Struthio camelus: one gene and its partners. The protein of the gene in region 1 interacts with the protein of each later gene in a pairwise test. Links are inferred from orthologs where the notes say so. Each region holds a gene or a part of one and is shown on either strand. Other genes may lie near its edges.

The links.
Region 2: the proteins of RGS19 (region 1) and GNAO1 interact in a two-hybrid assay, tested with the Homo sapiens proteins (2 studies listed by BioGRID). The link is inferred for Struthio camelus from reciprocal best matches to the Homo sapiens genes RGS19 and GNAO1.
Region 3: the proteins of RGS19 (region 1) and GNAZ interact in a two-hybrid assay, tested with the Homo sapiens proteins (2 studies listed by BioGRID). The link is inferred for Struthio camelus from reciprocal best matches to the Homo sapiens genes RGS19 and GNAZ.

Annotation. Positions count from the first base shown.
Region 1 is NC_090959.1:17,475,290-17,482,990, reverse strand, and holds the start of RGS19 (regulator of G-protein signaling 19), read right to left. Parts: upstream 3,061-7,701; 5' UTR 3,046-3,060; coding exon 3,006-3,045; intron 1-3,005. UniProt on the Homo sapiens protein: Inhibits signal transduction by increasing the GTPase activity of G protein alpha subunits thereby driving them into their inactive GDP-bound form. Binds to G-alpha subfamily 1 members, with the order G(i)a3 > G(i)a1 > G(o)a >> G(z)a/G(i)a2.
Region 2 is NC_090951.1:21,792,009-21,799,269, reverse strand, and holds the start of GNAO1 (guanine nucleotide-binding protein G(o) subunit alpha), read right to left. Parts: upstream 3,001-7,261; 5' UTR 2,523-3,000; coding exon 2,405-2,522; intron 2,338-2,404; exon of another isoform or gene 2,315-2,337; coding exon 2,272-2,314; exon of another isoform or gene 2,250-2,271; intron 1-2,249. UniProt on the Homo sapiens protein: Guanine nucleotide-binding proteins (G proteins) function as transducers downstream of G protein-coupled receptors (GPCRs) in numerous signaling cascades.
Region 3 is NC_090958.1:8,575,381-8,582,660, forward strand, and holds the start of GNAZ (guanine nucleotide-binding protein G(z) subunit alpha), read left to right. Parts: upstream 1-4,280; 5' UTR 4,281-4,669; intron 4,670-7,280. UniProt on the Homo sapiens protein: Guanine nucleotide-binding proteins (G proteins) are involved as modulators or transducers in various transmembrane signaling systems.

The DNA of each region.
Region 1 (7,701 bases):
CCTGCAAGGTACTCTGAACTTGAGGGACTAAAACAACTTGCGGTAACCTCCAGTTATTTTTTCTTCCCTCAAATTAAAAGGTAGCTGTTAAATAAAGTATATAAACAACTGCCTTTAGATCAGTTCTCAGCAGATCTCTTGCAATGGAAATGTCTACAGAGATATGCAGAGATGAATAAGGAACTGAGTAATAGGAAGTGTCAGTGAGCGCCGCGGGCTCCGGGTAACCCGGAAGCGTATGTCACGGCAGCCGAGAGCCCGGCGATGCGGCCCGGACACGGCGCCCGCCCCCGCGGTTCACGCAGCGTCGCGGCCCGCTCTGCAACGGGCCGGGCGCCGCGAGCGGCCCCGCCGCCGGGCGCTCGCCCAGGGACGGGGCATTCGGGGGAAGAAGGTGGCCCAAAAGTACAAAGAGAGCCGGAAGGGGAAGGCAGGGCGCAGGGTACGCTTCCCTTGGCAAACCCCCAAGGGGGGCTAAGGAACTGAGCGCGGCAAAGATTTTACCTCCTCTTGAGCAAATTTTCCAAAATAAATTTATCCAGAGGATAAAAGCTTGGGGGGAAAAAAAGAGTAAAAGCCATGGCAGTCTGAGCCCGCTCTCTGCAGAGACCAAGCAGCTCTGGGATGGAGGGGTCAAAAGCAAAAGCAGGCCGGGCGCGCGACGACGCGCGAGGAGCCCAGTGGGAACAACGCGCTGCCTCCCAAGGCTGTTTTGCCATGTGTACCTGTTGATCACTCGATGCCACAGACACCCACGAGGACGAGCAGGGAGCATGGAGCTTGCCCAGACCCTTTGCATGAGCCCTGTTGAAACTCAAGAGGCTGTAGCCCAAGCCCAGTCTAAAAGTGAGACTACGACCGCAGATAAGCACAGATAGGAGAGGATGCACTTAGCGCAGGGAGAGGGTGGAGATGGGCTGCTCCTGCACCTAGGACAGACTCAGCATTAATCACTTTGCCAAGGTATTTTTCTCCCTTACCCTCTCCGGGTTCGAGTAGCATTATCTGATTACCTGCCTTCAGTTCCTATTTTTTCTTAAATAACAACATCAAAATGGACACACAGACCCTGATTGAAACATATTCGAGTCACTAAATCCCTGCTTCTCCACTATAATCTTATGAGGTGGAGTTTGTTTAATTGCTGAAGAACACGACTGTATTTTGATTAGCATGCGGCTTGAGTCATTTGTGGGGAAGGGCTGACGCGGAGGAGCTAAAATCCTTGTAGGGAAATCTGATGTGGCGTTGTCCCCTGGGAAAGATATTCTGCAATACGTGCCCACTGGGGCGACCCGTTTTCCCAAAGCAAACGACACCCACCAGGACAGCAAAAACAACAGGCTCTGCTCGTCCAGCGTGACACGGGACGAGCGTCTCTACCGACGGCGATGGTGGAGACGCATCCAGAGGGGAGCGAACTCCCCTCGCAGCGGGGAAATCCCTCCCACTCACTTAACACTTTTTGTTTAGTTTCTTAAATAAGGCCACGGACCGGTGCCAGAAGAGCCTCATGGAAGCGGTGGGGACAGGGAGCTTCCCGAGGGAACCTCGCCATGCCCAGAGCCGTAGCGCGAGCCGCACGTGCAACACCTCCGGCGGCCCGCGCCTGGCCCTCCGCACCCCTCGGCCGCGGGGACGCGGCGCCAAGCGGCGGCACGGCACCCCGGGATGCCGCCCACGGGCCGCGCTCGTGCCGGGTGACAGGAAGCCGTCACGCTGCCTTCCAGCGGGACGGCGGGTGGCGGGGGGAGCCGTGGCCGGGACACGTCCGACTGAGGTCCCCTCTGCCCAACCCTCCAGCCTTGCCATTGCTAGAGGCCAGGTGACCTGCTGGGCGTCCCCCAACAAAGAGACCGGACCCCCCCCGCCACCGCCACCGCCTGACCTCAGCCAACCTCCCCGAGGGGCCGGCGCTCGCCGCTACCCCACCGGCGAGGTCAGGGCTCCCTGCAGCTACCGCGCTCTGCTGCCGGGGACGACACCCGTCTACACATGGCGAGACGGGAAGCCACAGAGGGGCCCAGGCGTCCTGCCTGGCCGAGGCGGCGTGGGGCTGGCTGCTCCAGGGCTGCCCTCGCACACACCTGTGGGAGCAGGAGGGCCAGGGCAGCCCTGGGCTGGCCGAGGCCTCGGCGGACACCCCCTCCTGGCACGCTTCCCCCCCCCCACCCTCCCCCGGGGCCGGGTAAGCCCCGCTGCAGGCAGCCCTGCGCCTGGAGGGTGCCCCCCTCCCTCTTCCTCCTTCCTCCTCCTCCTCCTCGCAGGGGCCCTGCCCTCTCGCCGGGGTGATGCAGCGCGCCGCGGGGGGGGGGGGGGGGGTCCCTCGCCCTGCCCGCCGGTCCCCGCGGAGCCATCGCGGTTCCCCCCCCCCCCCCCCCCCCGCCCAGCGCGGCGGCAGCCCCCCTGGCACACGGGGCTGGTGACAGGCAGCAGCCGGGCACGGATAGACAGACGGACGGACGGACGGACACACACACAGCCCGAGCTGCCCATCAACCCCGGCGCTCGCTGCGCGCCGCGGGGGGAGCATGCAAGCATGCATGCATGCGGAGGGGCGCAAGCAAAGCGGGAGCATGCGGTGCGGGGGGGGGGGGGGAAGCGGGGATCTGCCCGCAGCCCGCCGCGGGGAGGCAGCGGCGAGGGCGAGCGAGGGGCGGCGGGCCCGGCCCCCGGCCGCGGCATCCCGCGGGCAGCGCCGGCCGGGCCGCGGGGTACTCACGGGCCGGGCATCCGCCGCCGCCGCCGCGCAGCGCCCTCCGCCGCCGCCGCCCGCTCCCCGCGGCCGCCGCCTCTGCGCTGCCGCCGGGCTCGGCACCGCAGGGAGAGGCAGAGGCAGCGGGCGCGGAGCGGCGCGGAGCGGCGCGGCTGCACTGCGCACGCGTCCCCCGGCCCCTGCGATTGACTTCCTAAAGCAATTGCAGCTTTGGCACTTCCTCACGTCAAAACACACACACACACACCGCCCCGCACCAGCACCCAGTGCACGCACCCGCTACCAGCACCTGCACCGGCGCCCAGTAGCAGCACCCGCATCCAGGACATGCCCCCAGCATCAGCACCCGGTACTGGCGCCATGCACAGCACCCGGTGCCAGCACTCGGCACCAGCACCCTGCACCAGCATCCAGCTCCTTGCACCCAGCATCTACCGCAACACCCTCCACCAGCACCCTCCACCCCACCAGCGCCCTGCACCAGCACCCAGCCTCCCCCAGGCACCGTGCTTCCTGCCCTCTACGCCAGCACTGGGAGGGAACCATTCCCGCCCCAACACACTCCCGCCGGAGCGGGGACGTCACCTGCCCCCAGTGTGCAGGCACTGGGCAAAGGCTCAGCCAAGGGAAGGGGCTGGAGGGACCCTGCTCCTCTGCCTTGCCCCCTCCGGGCCCTTGCCTGTCCCCAGCACATGTGGCAAGGAACAACTGGGAGAGAAGCTGCTTGAAGGATTGCTTTCCCTGACCCAAGAGTCCCTGGTGAGGAGTGGCTTTCCCTAAATCAGTAGTTTCTCTGCCTTTTTTTTTTTTTTTTTAAGGGGGATTATGTGTCTCTAAAAATAAAGGGTGATAAAACTTTGGGAGAGAAAGGAGACATAAAAATTTCATGATCTTGCCAGCCAGGGAAATTATCCCACTTTATTATTCAAAACCTCATTAAAACCCATTTCCCTGGAAAAGACAATGATCAAACCACCCTCTACTTCAGTCCCTGAGACATGCGCTCTGTGACGTGGGGAAAGCAGTTAAAAGAGGCCTTTACTTGTGACTGCTCAGCTGAAAACCCAAACCTGACCACCCTCCCCTCCCATGTGAGTAACAGACCTCCTGGCTTACCCCAGGTCTCTGCCCCTACGCACGGCTAGATTATGTTCCAGACCCTGCGCCTCCCCGCATTTCAACCTGCTGTTTTCAATAGTCTAGATTTTCCTCTTTTTACCCATTCAGCTCGCTCCAGCAGGAGCTAGAGAACATTTGGTCATATAGGACCTGGTTCTGCGCCAGGATCTCGGTGGATGAAGCAGGGGCCTTCCTCAGGTCCCTCCACTATCAGCTTTCCCAACTCTTAGAGCAACTTCAGTGAAATGCTGCGGATGTCAGGCTGTCCCCTTCCCCCACAACGCAACCAGGATGCCAGCCCTCACCTTTGCTTTAGCGTGTAATTTAGCTGAAAGCTCACAAATGTCTGTAAAGGCTCCCACATCCTCAAGCACTGTTTTATGTTCCATGTTTTGGGTTTTTTATAAATCCCCATGAACACTTGGTTGGTGATTCTCTGTGGCTTTTGAGTTACCATCCCTTCAGATACTAAAAAGACCATGAATGTTTCATTGAAAAAAAGTCACCTTTTAAAAAAGGAAGTGTGGATGGGGAGAAAATCTGCAGCCGCTCGCAAATTGCCTGCAAAGTAGTGTTATCAACAAATGGCCAAACTAGACTGCAATCTTCCGCTCACAATGTCACAGCTTGTCCTTAATACCTCCTTTTTAAACACACACACACACACACACACACACACACACACACACACACACACACAACCTGGAGAAGAAAATGCATCTTTTCTAGAAATTGCAAATGCTCCGTTAAATAAGCAGGAACCCTGCTTTAATTCAGCTTTGAGTTTGGAAAGCTGCTTTTCTCCCAGGCCCACCGTCCACCCTAAAGAAGTGGATGAAAACTTTCGGTGCGTGGATGTGCTGGCCCCCACTCCAAGGGCTGGCAGTAACTTCTGGGAAAGCCAGCCACCCCCCCCCCCCAGCACTTTGAAAGGGAACCTAGGAAGGAAGGGGCAGTCTTACTTGAGCTGTTTCTGTCATAAGTGGTAATTGCTCATGGCAGAGGAGCTGAGATGTTTCATGACTCAGGTGGAGATTACTTGCATGCAATCAGCTCTTGCAGGGTCCTGTAGCCTCTCTGTTACTTATCACCGACTTTGCACAAACGTGGCAAAAACTTCCCCAACCCTTTCCACCCCAACCAGCTCCCTCTTCTGCAAGCTCTGCAATCTCCGTCCCACAGAAAGGCAAGAGCGTGTTTCTAACTCCCCGAGAGGGCGGGCGATGCCGCCCCCGGGGGGCAGCGGCTCTCGCCGGGGCTGGCGGTGCGCGGCGCTGGGGGAGCGGGGCGGCGCGGAGGTCGGGCCGGCTCCGGGCTCCCGGCTCCCGGCTCCGGGCTCCCGGCGCCCGGTGCAGTAGCGGGGCCAGCCCGCAGGTGCCGCCCGACTCCGCCGGGAGCGCGGCGGGCGCCCCGCAGCCCGGCCCGGCCCCTGCCCCCCGCCGCCTGCTCGCCTTTTCCGCTCGGTTGGCGATGGCTCGGCATCAGCCCACCGAAACCCACTGCCCGGCGGGGAGAAGGAAAAATTTCCGGACTCTCTCGGAGAGACAATCGAGACTGCAGTTTTGCTGGATGTTGGAGAGCAGCTGTAGCTTCTTAGCCCAGCACTGGTATTTGGACAGTGGGGACATGATCCTAAGATCTGCTAATGTTGCACCCTTTTGGTGCCCTGTAGCCCTTTCTGAAGGGAAAGTGTGTGCCCTGACAGGGTACAGCAGTGCCTTCAATGGACTCCTCCTGCCCAGCGGTGCTGATGGAGATCCCCCTAGGACGGTGCTGAGTAAGCTGAGGTGCTCTCTGCTTGGAGAGTATGGGTAGCAGTGTGCTTTAACAAGTGTTACACAAAGAAAGCACTTGCAAAGCTTGTTTTCCTTCTCAAGAAGAAGGACTCCAATAACTCCAGGCAGGATGCTTGGGAGCAGGAAGCATCCTTCAGTGGACATCTGAGGAGAGCCAGCCTGTGTCAGGACTGAGATACAGCGTGGCTCCCTATGGCTCTGCACACCACCACCTGAGAGAGAAAGCCTGTCAACGGTTGCTCAATAGCCATCTCCAAAGGCGCTCTGAAACTATCAGCCCTGCTGGAGCAGCCGAGTGGGCTGAGCTCTCCCAGTCTGTTTCCAGCCCGTGCACTCTCCCGGAGACTGGCAGGTAATGGGACAGGATACCTGGCGTCTAGTCAGGGACGCATTGCTTCAGAAGGGCCTCTTGCTCTCACCAGTTACGTGGGACTGCTAAGACTCCTCAGCAAACAGAGGGAAATTCGGCTGGAGCGACCGAAAAAATGAATCTGGGCCTGGAGCTCTGAGGTACAGCAGCACCTGCGCTAAGACGGCCAATGCGGGAGTTACAAGAGCAGCGCTGCTGAGCTGCCACTCTGCAGGAAGTGCTTTTCGGAGCCGAGACCGTAGAGGTCATGCTCATCCTCTCTCTGCTGTCTGCTGAGGGCAGCCCGCGGACGCCCTGCGGCACGCCTCGCAGGCCACGTTGGGCTTCTGCGCGGCCACGCAGGCTGCCCGAGGTGGTGCGGTGGCAGCAGGCAGGACAGCTGCCCCGGAGACCGCTCCTTCTCCAGGGCAGAAATCCACCCTGGGTGTCTTTGCAGAATACCTGGTTTGGGCTGTGCAGTTTGATCCCTGCCAATTTATTCCCTTTTGAGAAATAGTTGGACATCCTTTATAACCGTTTTGCTTTTTTAAGGCCCTGGAGCTTCCCAGTAGATATCAGAGCCACACAGAGGTTACTAAGTGCCCCGTTTCACACGCAGACCCCTAGCTCATGTGCTAACTCCACGGCTTCCTGTGATTGCTCGCACACTGACTGAAAAGAAGAATCCTTCTAGGTAGGGTCGACGTTTATTTTCACTCTGCGCGTTCCTCTCGGCTTTTTCTCCCCAATAACAGGAACCAACTACATATTGGCTCCATGAGCTCTGCAGCCACTTCAAAGCAGCTCTGAGTTCCACTTTCTACTTCCTTTCATTAAAGGCACAGACGAAGGGATCTGATCAGTCCACCTCCTTCCCACGGGGGCAGTAAATAAGCCGACCTGAAGTGCAAAGAGCATCTCCCCTGTGCTCAAACTCCCAGATAAAGCAATAGCTTGGAGTTCTGCAGTGCGGCTCTCCATAGGTTGTAGAGCAAAGTTTAAAAAAGGGTTTTTGCATCACCAGGGGCAATGCGACTATAAATTCTATCATGTTTAGTGGAAAGAGGGTTCGTTATTTTGATTTCCTAATATAACAGGGCTTATGCAATCATCTCGTGTATCAGCGTACTCACATTCTTCTAGATTCCACTCTCTGAAAACTTCATAACCCTTTGGCCAGTTTTAGTCAAAACTGACAGAAGTACAGAGTTCTCCAATGTAATTCAGGTCCTACAATTACAAACAGCTGGGTGGAGGAGAATGACCCTGCAAAAGCTGCAACTGTGAGAGAGACTAACATAGTCTGTCATGCCTTATTAGACATCAGAGAATCCACATGGACCTGACACTTGATTGATGTCTAAACCGTGGGAAAAACTTCAGACAGAGTTTGTGCCCTCTCAGGCACCCAGGTCAGTCCCCCAAGAGACAAGAGCCTGTTGAAAACCAGGCTGCACAAATTCTGGAGCTCACAGAGCTGTTTGTTTGCCTTTTAGTGCCAAGCTTGGTGGGGGGCGGGGGGGGGAGAAAAAAAAACAAACAAAAACCAGAGCTTAGCAGAAGCCTTCGCCAAAAGGGCTAACGCTGCTGTTTTAGGCTGGAATTAAGAGCAGCATATGGGGCTGCAGCCCCAAAGGCTGCCTTCGGCATCGCACAGGCGTCCTTGAAGGACGCACTGAAGATTATCAGCTCTGCTGACCAGTGGCACGAGCTGTCGGGGT
Region 2 (7,261 bases), on another chromosome or scaffold:
CCCAGTTTCCGACACTACGAGCCCTGCCACCATAGCAGCCGTCTCTGCCGTCTCTGCATTTTTCAAGTCAGGCACAAAACTGCAAGCCTGCCATGCATTACTTTCAGACTGTCTCATGGAAAAAAATACATATGTACAACAGTGGGGTATTATTCAGTCCTCGATATAGCGATTCAGCCCAGCAGGCTGGTTATTATCGTGAGACAATTTGCTTTAAAAAACAAGAGCTCTGCTACCCAGCAGCGCTGGACACTAATCGCCTGTGCCACCGTGGCCGTAGCCTGCCCTTCTCGCCCAAGGACCCCGTGTGCGCGCTGGCGCGCCGCCGCTGTGGTCGCCACAGCCTCTCCCTTCGCCCAAACCCCGCCGTCCGCCATGCCAGCCTGTTTCTGCAGAAGCGGCTCAATAATTTATGGGTGCTCATCCGCAGCAGCGTCCCCCCCCGATCCCCCTCGCACACCCAGCCCCGCGCCGCCGGCCCCACATCAGCGCAGGGCCCCCCCAGGCCCTCTCCGGGTGGAAAGCGCCCGCCGCAGCGGGCGAGCGGGGGCTGAGCGGGAGCCCTTGCGGCACCCGCTGCGGGCGGGCAGAGCGGCGGGGCGCGCCGGGCGCTCGAGGGGAGCCCTCCCGGGCCCGCCGTGCGCCGGGGGGGGGGTAGGAGGGGGGCGGCTTACTCCCCCGGGAGCCCCCGCGGCCAGACGCAACGGCCTGACACAGCAACGGGCAGGGCATGCCCGAGTCACGCCTGCCGGCGTCTCCCGGCGGGGCTGCGGGCCGCCCGCGCAGGGACGCGCAGGGCAGCGGTATGCCCGAGCGGCTCCGAGCCCCTTCGGCTCTTTCCGAGCCCGTTCGGCTCCTCCCGACCGCCTCCGAGCGCTGTCCGGAGGCAGCCGAGCGCGGCGCTCGGCCTCCGCCGGGCGGAGCCGAGGCGCGCCGAAGCGGCAGCCGCGCCGGCGGGTTCGAGTCCCCGCTGGGCGCTGTCCACCACGGCAACCGCCTGAACGCCGCCGCCGCCGCCCCGCCCGGCCCCGCCGCCCGGCCCCGCCGCCGCGCCCGCGCCCTTCCGCCCCTGCTCGGCGACCCGCTGCCCGGATTGCGGCTTGCCACGCACAACCCCTCCCCGCAGCCTCCACACCCACCGCCGGCGCCCCTCGCTCGCTAGGCAACGCCGGCCTCCGCGGGCCCCTCCCAGGCGAGCAGCCCTCCGCAACCATCAGCGTTAGAAAGCAGAAAGGGCTCCGTGTCTTTTCCGAATTAAAAGCGAGGCACTGAATCAATGCACGGGGTTGCTCAGTGATGGCGCCGCCTTGGACCAGCCTGTCGTGCCTGCTTCAGCGGGCGGCTGGGATTGTGATTGTACTTCAATTAAAAGGAGGGGGAAGGAGGAAAACAAAAAAAAAAAAAAAAAGAAAAGCAGAAAGAAAGAAAACCCCAGCACCCCGCCACGGTCGTATCTCCAGCCGTTCATCAGCGTTCCCCTTACTCCAGCCATCGCGACGCCGCGGAAAAGGCCGCGCAGTGGGTTTTCCCAGCGCTGCTGTTTACCGCGCAGCGAGGGCTGAGGAAGCAGGGCGGGGGGTGTGTGCGGGGCCGGGGCCCGGGCCGGGGCCGGGCCCGGCCGCCGCTGCCCCGCGCCGCCGCCGGCCCCCCGGCTCGCAAGCGGCGGCGGGAGGCGAGGCGAGGGGAGCGGGGCGAAGCGCTGCCGCCCGCCGCTGCCTCCTCGGCCCCTTTAATTGGCGCTCGGCAGCCAAACTCGCCGCTCATTAATTGAAAGGCTAAAAGCTCGGGTGAAAGGGGCTTTGGGTGGCAGGGCGCCTTTCCGCGGAATCCGCATTACCGGCGGATTTTGGCGTTCCTTCCATGAACGCCACAGCGGCAGCCGGGCAGCCCCCGCCGGGGGAGCGGGCGTTGAGGCGCGGGGGGGGGGGAGGCGGGGGGCAGGAACCTGCCGTCGAGCGCCCGCGGCGCGTCCGCCGGCTCTGCCCCGCTGCCTCGGCGGCCGCTGCCGCCCGCTCGCCGGCGCTTCAGCACCACGGCGGCCCCGAACAGCAGCGGGGCGGCGGCGGCGGGGCGGGCGCGGGAGCCGCCCGCCGGCCCCTCAGGTAACATGGCGGCCGCGGGCACCCGCTCACCTCGGCGGCCGCCGCCCGGCCCCGCCCCGCCCGGCCCCGCCCCGCGCGCCGCTCCCGCCGTCGCGATCATCACCGTTACGGCCGTTATGATCGCGATCCCCCCCCCCCCTCCCCGGCCCCGCGCGGCGCCGCTTCTTACTTCATCTGCTTCACGATGGTGCTTTTCCCCGACTCCCCGGCCCCTGCGGAGAGAGGAGAAAGGCGGGTGAGCGCGGCGCAGGGCGGGCGGTGAGCGCGGCGCAGGGCGGGGGGCCGCGCGGCGCCGGGCTCACCTAGCAGCAGCAGCTTCACGTCTTTGGCGGCGCTGATCCCGTCCTCCTTGAGGTTCTTCTCGATGGCCTTGCTCCGCTCCAGGGCGGCCCGCTCCTCGGCGCTCAGGGTACATCCCATGGCGGCCCCGAAAATTGGGAAAAAAAAAAAAAACAAAATGGGAGGAAAAAAAAAAAAAAAAGGAAAACGGGCCCCCGCCGCCGCCGCCGCCTCGGCTGGCTCCTCCGCGGGCAGGAGAGGAGGCAGGGGGCAGCCCAAATCCGCCGGCAAAAAGAGCCCCGGCAGGGAAGGGAAAAAAAAAAAGGATTACAAAAAGCTTTCTAAATCTCTGGGCGGCGCGGCGTGTCCTCGGCGGGTCGCGGCTCCTTCCTCCCCTTCTGCCCGCTCCCTAGTGATCAGCGCATCCGACTGGGCACCGGGCAGAGCGGGGCTGCGGGCGCCGTGCGAGCTCTTCCCGGCGGAGAGGAGGAGGCGGAGGAGGAGGAGGGGGAGGAGGAGGAGGAGGAGGAAGAGGGCTCGTGGCGGGGGGTGGGTCCTTCCCTCTCCCGTGCTCGCGGGTTCCGCGTTCTCCCCTGCTGGCGGGCTGCTCCCGTCTGGCGCGGGCGGCGGCGGGTCCCTCACGGGCGGCGGCGGCGGCGGCGGCGGGGCGCGCTCGCGGAGCTCGGCGGATGCTGAGGGAGGGAGGCAGCGGCAGCGGCGGGGGGGGCGCGCCGGGGCTCCGCGCTCCCGCCGGCCTCGCCCGCTCCCGTGACGCGCGCGGCTCGCGCATGCTCGCGGCGGCCCCCGCCTCAGCCTCAGCCCGGTCGCCGCCGCCGCCCCGGCCCGCGCCCCCCCCCCCCCCCCCCGCCCCGAGGCGGCGCGGCCGGCCTTTCTCGCCGCCGCCGCCCCGCGGGTCCCGCCGAGGCCCCTCGCCGGCTCTCCTGAGGGGAAGCGCCGCGGCGGGGTCAGGCTCGGGCTGCGGGCTCCGCCTCGGGCCACCCAGGGCCCGCGGCCCGGGCTCCTGCCCGCCTTGTCCCGGGCCTGAGAGAGGCCGCGACCCGGGCTCCTGCCCCCTTTCCCTGGGGCTAGAGAGCGGCTGCGGCCTGGGCTCCTCTCCCCCTTCTCCCCAGCCAGAGAGCGGCTGCAGCCCAGGCCCCTGCCCCTCTTCCCCAGGCAGAGAGAGGCCGCGACCCAGGCTCCTGTCCTCCTCACCCCAGCAGAGAGAGTTCATGACCTGGGCTCCTCTCCCCCTTCCCCTGGGCAGAGGCCGCAGTCCCAGCTCCTTTCCCCTTGCCCTGGGCTAGGGAGAGGCCGTGACCTGGGCTCCGGTCCCCCCTTCCCCTGGGTCCTCTCCCCCCTGCCATGGTCACTGTGGGCTGGGGTCTGCCCAGCTGCACAGCTCCCGCACCTCTGTCACTGCCCTGGCTCTGCCCAGGTAGTACAGAGATCAGAGGGGCTGGGAGACGTGTGGTTGGATTCATGACACAGCAGTGCATTTTAATAGGCCTTGGGTCGCCCATGGGGCCGGGGCTGCAGTACCGCAGCCCCAGGCGGTGGAGACGCCCCGTTCCCTTGCTGCCCCGCGGGTCCTCCGCGCCGCCGGCCCCTGTGCGCTGGGCTCGCACCTCCGGCGTGCGAGATCTGTGAGGAGCCCTTCTGAAGCGGTCTGATCAGTTAAATTGTTTTGATCAACACTTGTAATACAAATTGTTTACGTGCTTGAGGGAAGCCATCAAGTTTCGCCACCATTGTGGATATGTTTTCCATCAGTCTGATTAACAGGTGGGTTTTTTTTTTTCTTTCTGTGCTGCAGTGCAATCAAAGATTCCTTCTCACCAGATAACCTGCCTTGTTTTCATAACCATTCCACTACATCTAGCAATTATTTAGGAATTCTAGCAAGTTAAAATCCTGCAATTTTCCTGTCTGGTTTTACCATTTCCTAAGGAGGGAAATGGGGAACAGAAAATGTCAATGGGGAAAATTTCTTTAAAATGCTTTTCCAGCACATAGACAAGTCATGATATATTCAGCTTCAATCCATAACATTGATTGATATGTGACAGTCTGACTATAAAAAAATTAGAAAGAAAAGAATGGAGTGTTGAGGACAGCAAGCTAAAAGCCATCAAACATACAGATGAGCAAACTAAGGGACTATTGCCTGATATGAAGAAAGCACCCCCCCCACACACACACATAATAAACAAGAAGTCTGCAAAGGAAGGGCTGATTGTTAGGAAATAGCATGTGAATGGGAAGGTTTGCCCTTGAAATCCACTCCTACCCCCCCCCCCTTAAGAAGAAAGGATACAACAGGCTTAATACCAGCATTACTCTGTTTAGTGAACAGGCCTTCAGGAAATCCCAGGTCCAGACTTCCCCCGGGCTGTCTCACAGCGAGCGGCTCGGGGAAGGGAGTGGTTTGCCATTTCTTATTTTGGGTGGTAGAGATTGTACGCTCACGCACTGTTGATCTTCCAGTTCGGGCCTTGGCCCACTGCCTCTTCTGAGCTCTTCTTACATCCTGCTGTCTTGAGCTGTGCTACTGCTATATCTACAGACCCTTCCTTTAGGGCTAGCAATACCATTTCTAATAGCACTTCCAGTATGTTAAGCACAGCTTCCCTGACACTTTCCTTCCAGGCAAACATCATCATGTCCTCCCAGCACTGCTTCCCATCACACTTTCCTTCCAGAATCTTTTTTTTTTTTTTTTCATTTTCCCTCCCCTGAAAGGAAGGGAAAAAAATATGGCATGTGGTTAAAGGGGTAAAAAAAGAGATAGAAGGTAGAAATGGGGAAAAAAGAGGGCAAAAGGTAACTCATAAATAATGTCAGTGCATTCAGGGAGCAATAGTATTTACTGCTCATTTGTGAGCTAATAGGTGCTGTATATCTGAATTTTGGGTAATTTATATCTGGAAGCTCGTGGGAATGAGATGACAAGTACGTACATGGAAAAGCAAATCTACCACATGTCTTTGGTTGGGAGTAAATGGAGACGTGACTGATTGCAGAGCAGTTCCTGCTCTTTCATACCCATGCAAATCCCTTGTGTAAAATCAATGGGATCAGAATTTCAATTGGTAAGTTTCATTTTGACGGTACTAGCCAGAGGGATTTATGAAAATTGCAGTTAAAAAAAAAGCACAAACAAAAAATCGAGACGCAGCGTCCTCATGAGATGGCTACGTTTTACTTGCCAACTTCTCCACCAATTTGCCAGCATAGGAGTCGTATTGGGATATTCCCCGAAGATTTCACTAAGAGAATTTGTCTTTCGTATCAGCCTCTGGCTACTCGTTATCTGGCAAATTTGTAGCCCGTGCCTCCTGCCACGGAGAAAATGATTTCACTTCTGCGTGACTAGTGGGGGGGTCCACACTAGGCCTTTTCTCCCATGTGCAGTCCCAATCGCTATGTAAGCGTCTGCTAATCTCTTTCTTAAGGGACAACCCAAAATGGGCAGATCTTCTCCTTGGTGTCTCTGCTCTCAGATTCAGGGGAGCAGCTGTGAAAGTGAGCCGTTTCTGAGCCAAGTTTTACAGGTTTTATGTCACTGCTAATTGAGTGGTGGTGATGGGAAAGTTTCATTTGAATTTTTCTTAGAAGGAAATTTCATTTTTTTACAAATTGTGTTTTCATGGCAGATGGATTTCAAGAACCTGAAAAACAGCCTGCCTCTCCTACTAAGCAATGAAAAAATGTAGCAGTCTACTTGGCCTTTGAGGTTAATACGTTGGGTTTTGTGGCTGAAAATAATGTTTCCAGGGACTGGCGGGATTTCTTTTTTAATGAAAAGTAGTTGGTTTCATTAACAACTTCAGAGAAAATTGTCTTATTTTCTTAAATATGCAAGATATTTTTCATGACAGGTAGTTGGGGGGGGACGACTTTTTTCTGGCCGATCCTGCAGTTAAACTATATCACTCAAAGTACACGAAGGACAGTGCTTGTTTCTGCTTGGACTATTATCTTTACAAGCATAAGAACAAACAGCATATTTTAAACGAAAACCCTCATTCTCCTGTATTTGTAATCTGTGCTTTAGCAAGAACAGTCTCCTCTTCACAATCTGCTTTCAACCATTCTGCTAGGAAAAAATAATTAGATAATCATTTCTTTAAGAAGTGAAGGTTGGGATAACGTTAACAGAATTGATGGATGCGTTTGAAACGTTTAGTGCCAAAGTAAAGTTACTAGGTATATTGTCATCTTATGATCTCCGGGGTGTGGTGTTCCTATGGGTGATGAGATATCTCTCATAATTCTCCTGGCTGTGTCCAAATGGTGGGAGAGATGTGCTCTAAAGCACACCTCACCGTCCCAAGTTCCAGACTACCAGCTCAGGGATTTGTAGAGTGCTCTGACTTCCTTCTAACGTAGACAGCTTGTTTTCTTTCTAAGGGAAACATAGCAGACAGTGTGATGCGGGGGAAGACAAGGAGTTTATTGAGACCCAGGACTTAGGAAGCCCTTCTAGGTCTCACAGTCTGGACAAGTCCTTGGGGAGCAGTTGCAAACCCCTGCCACAGATCCTGGCCGTGAAGGCAGCGTGTGTTTTCGGGATTTAGCCAGCACATGCCTCCCAGCTTGCCAGGAGGTAGTAAAACTGGCTGGGAGAACTATCCTCAGTAAAAACGAATTGAGTATCTTTGGCTTAAACTCCCACAGCTACCACAACGCTCCCACCACCAGAAATGAAGTTGCAATAATATTGGGAGGGAGCATCATGCTGGATCCCGTCCCTGGAATTAGTTGCTATTGTTGGTTCGGCATAGCCTCTGTGAACTGGTGGGTGGTGTGAAGAGGGAGAGGGTTAAATCCAGGATACGATGACCATAGGAGGCAAGCTACAATCCTTTTCAACTTGTCTT
Region 3 (7,280 bases), on another chromosome or scaffold:
ATATTTAATAAGTTTAGATAAGAAATTGCTGTTTGTGGATGTACTTATGACAGCTACAGAACTCATGTCCTGTTGTGTATGCTTCTCAATTACTTACAATTTGGTATGTATTTTTGAAAAAATTGGTATATATTGGTATATATTTAAAAAAAAAACATTTTATCGCAATGAATAAACTTTAAATGACTTTAATTTGTGACATTTTTTATGTACTAAATGCCTCCCACTTTCTTTTGGGTTAAAGTTTGGTATTTTTTTCCCCATTCCTTTACCCTTAATAGTGGGAAATGAGAAAACACTATTCTTATCTCCTATTTTTTCCATAATAATGCAGGCCTGATGGCTCCTTTACCTTATTTCATGAAATCTCTGTTTCTAGCTTTCTTCCCATGGAGGCTCTGAAGGAGTTTGGGTGCCTGTCTCGCTCACAAAGCTTATGGTAAGTGCAGACTGCTGTGTGAGGTCAACTGCGCAGGAGGGCCAGCACTTCTGCCAGGGCTCTAGGCGAGCCTCCAAGCAGCTGTCCGCCAACTGCTGGATTTAGTGCTTGTTTTTCTAAACTTGGCTTCAGTGGCAAGTGCTGATTCAGCAGTCAAGCCAATGAATGAGAAGCGCATATATAGCAGGTATATAATAAAAAACGTGAAGAAATGTACAGGAGGCACTTACATTTTTAGGCTTAGGTTGTTTCTTCTTTTTTTGTCTTTTCTTCTTTGAAAAACTAAGGAAGTCCTTCTCTTTAGCTGATTGTGTTACTAGCTGTAACTCCCTGTCTGGGTTCAAATTCCCAAATAACTCCAATGATTAGACCTAATAGAGCGAACAGTTGATTCTAAGCCAAGCCCTCAGTCATGAATGATGCAGGCCCAAGACACAAGAGTGAAATGCTGGTAAAAAATGAATTTTCATCCTAAATCATAAAGCCAAAGGAGGTATTCAGGCTGATACCACCTGCTGAAGGATACGTTCGTGGCTTTTTTTCCACCATCTCACAGCCACTGGTGCAAAGCAACAATATGTCAGATAGATAGTTATAAATATCAGATTCCAGTCATCTGCAGTTGATGCTATTTTAAACTCCTCCACGTGAGAAAAATGGTTAAAAATAAAAATACAGCCTCTTTATTCTTCTCTAAATGTTCGGTTCAGTTCTTCATGCTCAAAGAGAATCACAGACCCATCTATAAATATCTAACCCAGATCTACAAAACGAGAGTGTTTGGTAGAAAACTGAATGAAATATAAAATGTCTTTTATTATATTTTTATTACAGACCAGATGTGGCCTCTCAATTTTCCCCTCTATCATTTGGAGATGTACGTTCACCAGGAATCCTGTATGTGTGCATATAAATATTTTGATGTTGTCATGGTATAATAAATGCTAATCGATTAGAAAAATCCCTATGGGATGGTTGCAAAAATCCCTGTGGGATTTTGCATTTAAGAACACATTTCTGTTTTAGCACTATTATCTTCACACTAAACATATATGAATGCACCTATTTTGATTGATCTCAAGCAGAAAGCAGTGCTAAACAAGCAAAGATTTGGCTTTCGGTCAATGGACAGCAGTGGAAAGTTGAGTGAAACAGGTATGTATTCCTGTAAGCTGCATATTAGATGTTGCATATCAACAGTCAAACACTACTCCCTTCAAATTAAAACCTGTTTTGACTTAGGAAAAAAATTGTGACCTGCCTTACATGGAGGAGAGAGCAGGAATCCAATCAGATCATCACAGTTCCCTCAAGCTACTATTTGTTAACCCATTCATCCCATGAAGTGCTTTTTATGGAACACTGTATCTGATAGTTTGTCCAGACTTTTCAGTTATAAAAAGTAATGCAAATTATTCACTTCTAATATGCATTTATGTGTTTTCAGTCTAACCATATATAAAGAACAAGTTCAGAGCACTGAGCTTAAGAATTATGTTCTTCTTGGTCATCAAATATGCACAATTGGACTTTGGCATTTAATTATCTGCACAAGTTGTTTTGATATATTTCTCTTTAAATTTCTATGGGAGCTTGACTATATGTAGTGCACTCAGTACCAGCTGAAAGGCCCGGAATGAGAACTTCCGGAAACAGGACAAGGTGAGATTGAGGAAAATATAGACAGAACTGCTGATTTATTTTTCAGATGAGTCAGGTTTTAACTGTACCATTAATCAATGGCAAGCTCCCAAGCTGTCGTGTTGAAGCAATAACACCTAAACTTCTCAGAGCAAGACCCGTTCCATTACTCATGTGCTGCCTGCTCATAATTCCATCACTTCTGAGACTTGATCTACAGTTAGGTGCCTCCCTCAAAACTGCAAGAAAGAAAGCATTTTGTTATATCAATCAAAAGTACCTAAAAGTGATGAAATCTGGAGAGAGCATGCCAATGATGATCATCCTACACAGGATGATGGTAGCTGATGCTATTATTTCTCCCAAAGTTGGTCAATGTGTAGAAGATGCTTTTTTTTTTTGCATGTAAAGTACTATGCCGAAGACACATGTAAGGTGATAGTTTCTATAGTAACTACTTGTTCTTTATGGAATAGCAGATTAAACCTGCACACCCTGTTATTGTTCTCTTATCCGTCTATCTAGACTCAGTCCGTTATCACAGATACACTTTTTTAGTCTATTCCCTTTCCAACATAACTATGTTGGGGTTTTATGCAACTGCAAGTAAAGAGTACTTTTGAAAAACAAAAGCAAAACACTCTTAGAATTAAAACATTGACCACTGTCTGATCATATAAATCCATCAGAAGACAAAACTACATTGCTAGATACTAAAGCTAAAATTTCAAAATAAACTTGTAGTGCTTTTAAGGTGATTACCTTTTTTTATTCGGATGGGGCAAATTTGAATATTTTGTTTTTGCTGGGAGAGTAATGCCAGTTATCTATATGACATTTTTTAAAATGCTATTATTATACCAGTAAAATCCCTTGTATAGATGCAAATATATAGGCTATAACAGAATTTTGTTCAAGAAATTGGGAATTTCAGTTGTAAATTGCATTAGCGAACGTACATTTACCCTAGCACAGACTGTATCTATGCTAGGAGTTTACCAGAATAACTTTGCTACTCTAGATGTACCAGCAAACTCTTCTAGTGCGAGCAAGACCTACAATTCGTTACTTAGAGGAAAATTTCCCCCACATGGTACACTGATGTTTGGTTCTTGTTTGTGTACAGGAAAAATACTGCTGCCATACTCTGTTTTATACTAAACTGTTTCATTATTATAATTCATCGATGCTGCAGCTCTGCTGATAATATCAGTACTGGAAGTGGTAGTATTTACAGGAATCAGATGCTTTCTGCACTGTATTATGTTAGCCTGATTGTGGAAAAAAATGTCTGCATTCTGTCTATGTCTGAAAAGCTCTATTGCTACCTCCAGCAGAAATGCATCAGTAATAAATTATGGCTATGAGATTAGCTATGTAGACAGAAACCATAGCTATTTGGTCAGGACTGCAGCCTCTACAGTGCAACTACTATTGTAGTATGGCTAAAAGGAAGAAAACACTAGAAAAAATGAGAGAGAAAAAAAAAAGTAAATCCATTAATGAGATAAGAGAAAAATGATACTCGGCACTACTTAAAAACAAAAGCTGTACTAAAACACATAGACAAATGCAAAAGATAGGAAAGAGTGAAAGGCAAAAAGGGAAAAGAAGAAAATACAGGCACGGCACACACAGAAAGGGAAAGATGGAAAAAAGTAGATGGGGACAGTAGCTAAATTCCAAGTAACTAGATAAACAGTTTCTTTCCCCCCTCCCTCTCTCCTTATTGCATCATTCCAAAATGTATGCGATTTGTTCCCACTACTTCACTGGCAGCTTCAGTACGCCCTGCAAAATTCACCCTAAAAACCTTGATACGGACAGGGAGGCACAGCAGCCCTGCAGCCGGCACCGCGGACCTGCTGAGCAAATGCGGGCGGGTGAATGCGTCGGTGTGGCTGGTAAAGCCTGTAAGGCAGCGCATATATGTGCGTGCACGTTATATAAGGCACGGGTGCAATATAGCGTAGTAGACGGGGTGGGGGTGGGGGGAAAAATCCCTAAAACGTCAACAGCTAGCGCCTGGCACGCCATGGAGCCCGTGCGAGGGGCAGGCGGGGCCGGGGGCCGGCAGCGGCCGCGCTCGGCGCCCCCCGCGCAGCGCTGCGGCCCCGCTCGCCGCCCGCCCCCCGCGCAGCGCCGCCGCCCGCCGCCCGCCGCCCGCCGCCCGCCGCCCGCCGCGGCAGCGCTGCCCCCCGCCGTTGGCGTGGAAACGGGCTCGCCGCCTCCGACTCCTCCTCCGAGCGCCAGCCCCGCGCTCCCCCTGCCCGGGCGTCCCTGCGCGCCCGCGGAGCACCTCCCTGTCTCACGCCGGGGGACCACGGGACAAGTGTTTCTATTACTGCTTTGTTTGTTTGTTTGTTTTGTTCTGTTTTATTTCGTAGGGTGGGGGGAGAAATGAGACAGGGCAGGTTTTTTCCTCCTGCTTGAGCTGTTGGTCCAGCGTCTGCAGCCGCGGTGTGTCTGCTCGCTGCAAAGCGTAGATGCTGATGTGAAAAAGGGCCGAAGGAGACAGGGACGCGTCTGTGGATGTGAGCGTTTGCGCTGATGGACTGAGGAGGTGGCTGCCTGCTCGGTGCTTAAGAGGTGAGTGAAATGTTGGGCATGTCTTTTTTCTCTTAAATCAGATTAACAATTAACGTTACCCTCTCCTTGTATTTTCCAAATAAAAAGGCACTTCTAAAGGGGGGAATAAAAAGATGTCATTTGGAAACAATAAGCCACGGTTCTGCTGGATGAAAGAAAAGATGAATGTCACTGTGAGCAAGGAATAATTTTCTGTGTGTAGAGAAAAAATAGCAAGGGGAGAAAGGCTGCTGATACAGTGAAAATGACCTTCTCAAGGGATACTGGCCTTCTATGAGCTGCTGCTTCAGCTTGCTCCCTTTTTCACAAAATTAAGTCATCTCCCTCACTAGCCTGGATTCTAATCCACTAACATCCAGTACCTGAGCCTGCCTAAGATCCATTGTGTTCTGTTAATGATTCAGAAAGATAATCCATTAGATTGCTCCTGTCGGGAGAAGACCCTCCACAGTGTTTAGCACCTCCTTATAGGGAAATGCAGACTTGTCTAACGTTCTGTTAGAAAAGACTCCTAGCTGCTGAATTTCTATAATCAATTCTCCTTGAAACAGTCACAGCTGCAAATTCTAAGGCTGCTTGCCTCTGTGGAGCTAGGCTGCTCTACCTCTTACTGTGTGCTCCTGCATGTGAAGGAATGGGGAGGTTTTATTATATTCATCTGCACTTGTGGATGGTTCCCACCTGCAGTTCTGAACCACAAGTTTTTTGATATGTTTGCATTTGCATTTTGCTTGAGTGATTCACACACAAAACCCAACCCTTCAATGTTAGCCTGTTAGATCTGCAGACATATGTCAGTTTAATTTCTGGTAATAGCACCGATCTGTTTTTGGCTGTTTCATTGTGCAAGCTGTTTAATGTGTGTTCTTGCAGTATATATTCTGGAGGCTACTGACCTGCCTCAACAACATTTTCCTCTGCAAGATTTGAGAAAAGCTCAATGGTTTTCCATTCAGCTCTTCTTCACACCCATTTGCTGCCACTCTTACACTCACAATTTGTTTTTTATATTGGCTCCATATTTCGCGCCATTGTGGGTCACACCCTTTGGGTGGCCGATATAATTTCTTTTACAGAGGTTATAACAGCAGTCAGGTAGGAAAAAAACCCCAGTCGTTGTGACCATCTATATGTGTATCAAGAAGGAGAAAAAAATGAGCACGTATTTTGTAGTTCCTTCGGGGAAACTGTTTCTGCCTGTGTGGCTGTAGGAAGCCTGAGCTGATGACTTAAGTGCTGTTATAGGCAGAAGTAGTGACTTTTCTTCAGCAGTGCACATATCTGGTAACTGAAGAGATACACATACAGAGATATAATGCTGCAGAATAGAGCTTCTTGCCATTAGCTAAGCTGTCTCTAGCTCACCATTTAGTTGGAAGCTTTCACCCCAAAAGCACAGGTCCCTGCCCTTGGATAAAGGACATTATTCCAGGCTAGGCCTACGTGCATGGAAGAATGCGGTTCCAGTCTTCAAGAAGCCAGTGATGAGGGCAATGAGGAGGAAAAGATCTTAGCTGTATGACATAGTTAGGAGAAAAATCCTATGATATATCCCATTACCAAAGCACTGCCATTTCACAGATGAATTCTGTGAAAGGCCATGGAGATTTTGTTACGACAATGGGCCTCACAAAGATGAATAAATTCTACGTGCTACATAAAAAAATGCTACATTACACCTCAGTCTGTGGATTATGTCCTTCTTACTTCAGCGACCACTGGTGAAGAGCTGAATGACTCTTCTGGAGGTATTATCTTGAAGTCAGATTTAGTAAGATTCCAGTACAGCTCAGTGTCTCGGCTACGGGCCTTGGGCTTGAATTTAACTATGATAATCTAAAAATAATGAGGCAGGTAGTTCTGAAGTACTGAAGGGAAAGTGCTCTGGTTGTCTCCATTCAGATTACACAATAATGGAAACAGAAGGTACGTTAGATTTTAAGAAATCTAGGCAGAACTAGAAAACAGAAATTCATCCCTTCTTCTGAGATGTGGGGAAGGGGATAAGCAGAGGGATAAGGATAACAGAAAATTCAGTAGACAGTGAAAGCTTAAATCCTCAAATGGTGAAGTCAGCTCTTCCTCTCCAACTTAAGCAGCTAATGATTTAGACAGCAGATAGAGTCTTGGCTGATACGTAGTGATAAGGCAATATAGGGGAATTATATCTCCCCCCCCCTCATTAATTACAGAAAAATACTCCCAATTCCTTTGGGGTAAATCACAGTAATTCCACTAATTTTAGAAGAGATTCTCCAGATTTATGTAGCTGAAAATAAGAGTTGAATCTTACTGTTTATGTCTATACATAAACAGTTTGGTTCTGCTTTCGCTGGAGTCATTGGAAGTTCTGTCACTGATTTCAACGAGAGTGAGCCCCAGCTCAGCATGAGCACGCATAGATTCACTGATCAGATTCTCCCGTGCCCTCTAGGAACAGCAATGCTGAACAGTTTAATAGCAGATTTCAGTGAGGTCACAGTCTCAAATGACAAATTCATAATCATATTGTTCTTATGGGGAAAATCGTAACATTATTGCAAAAATTTTGGCCTCCCATAAATGCTGTTAAAGTGGACACTACCCAGTTTCAGCAGTAACAGCTTGCCAC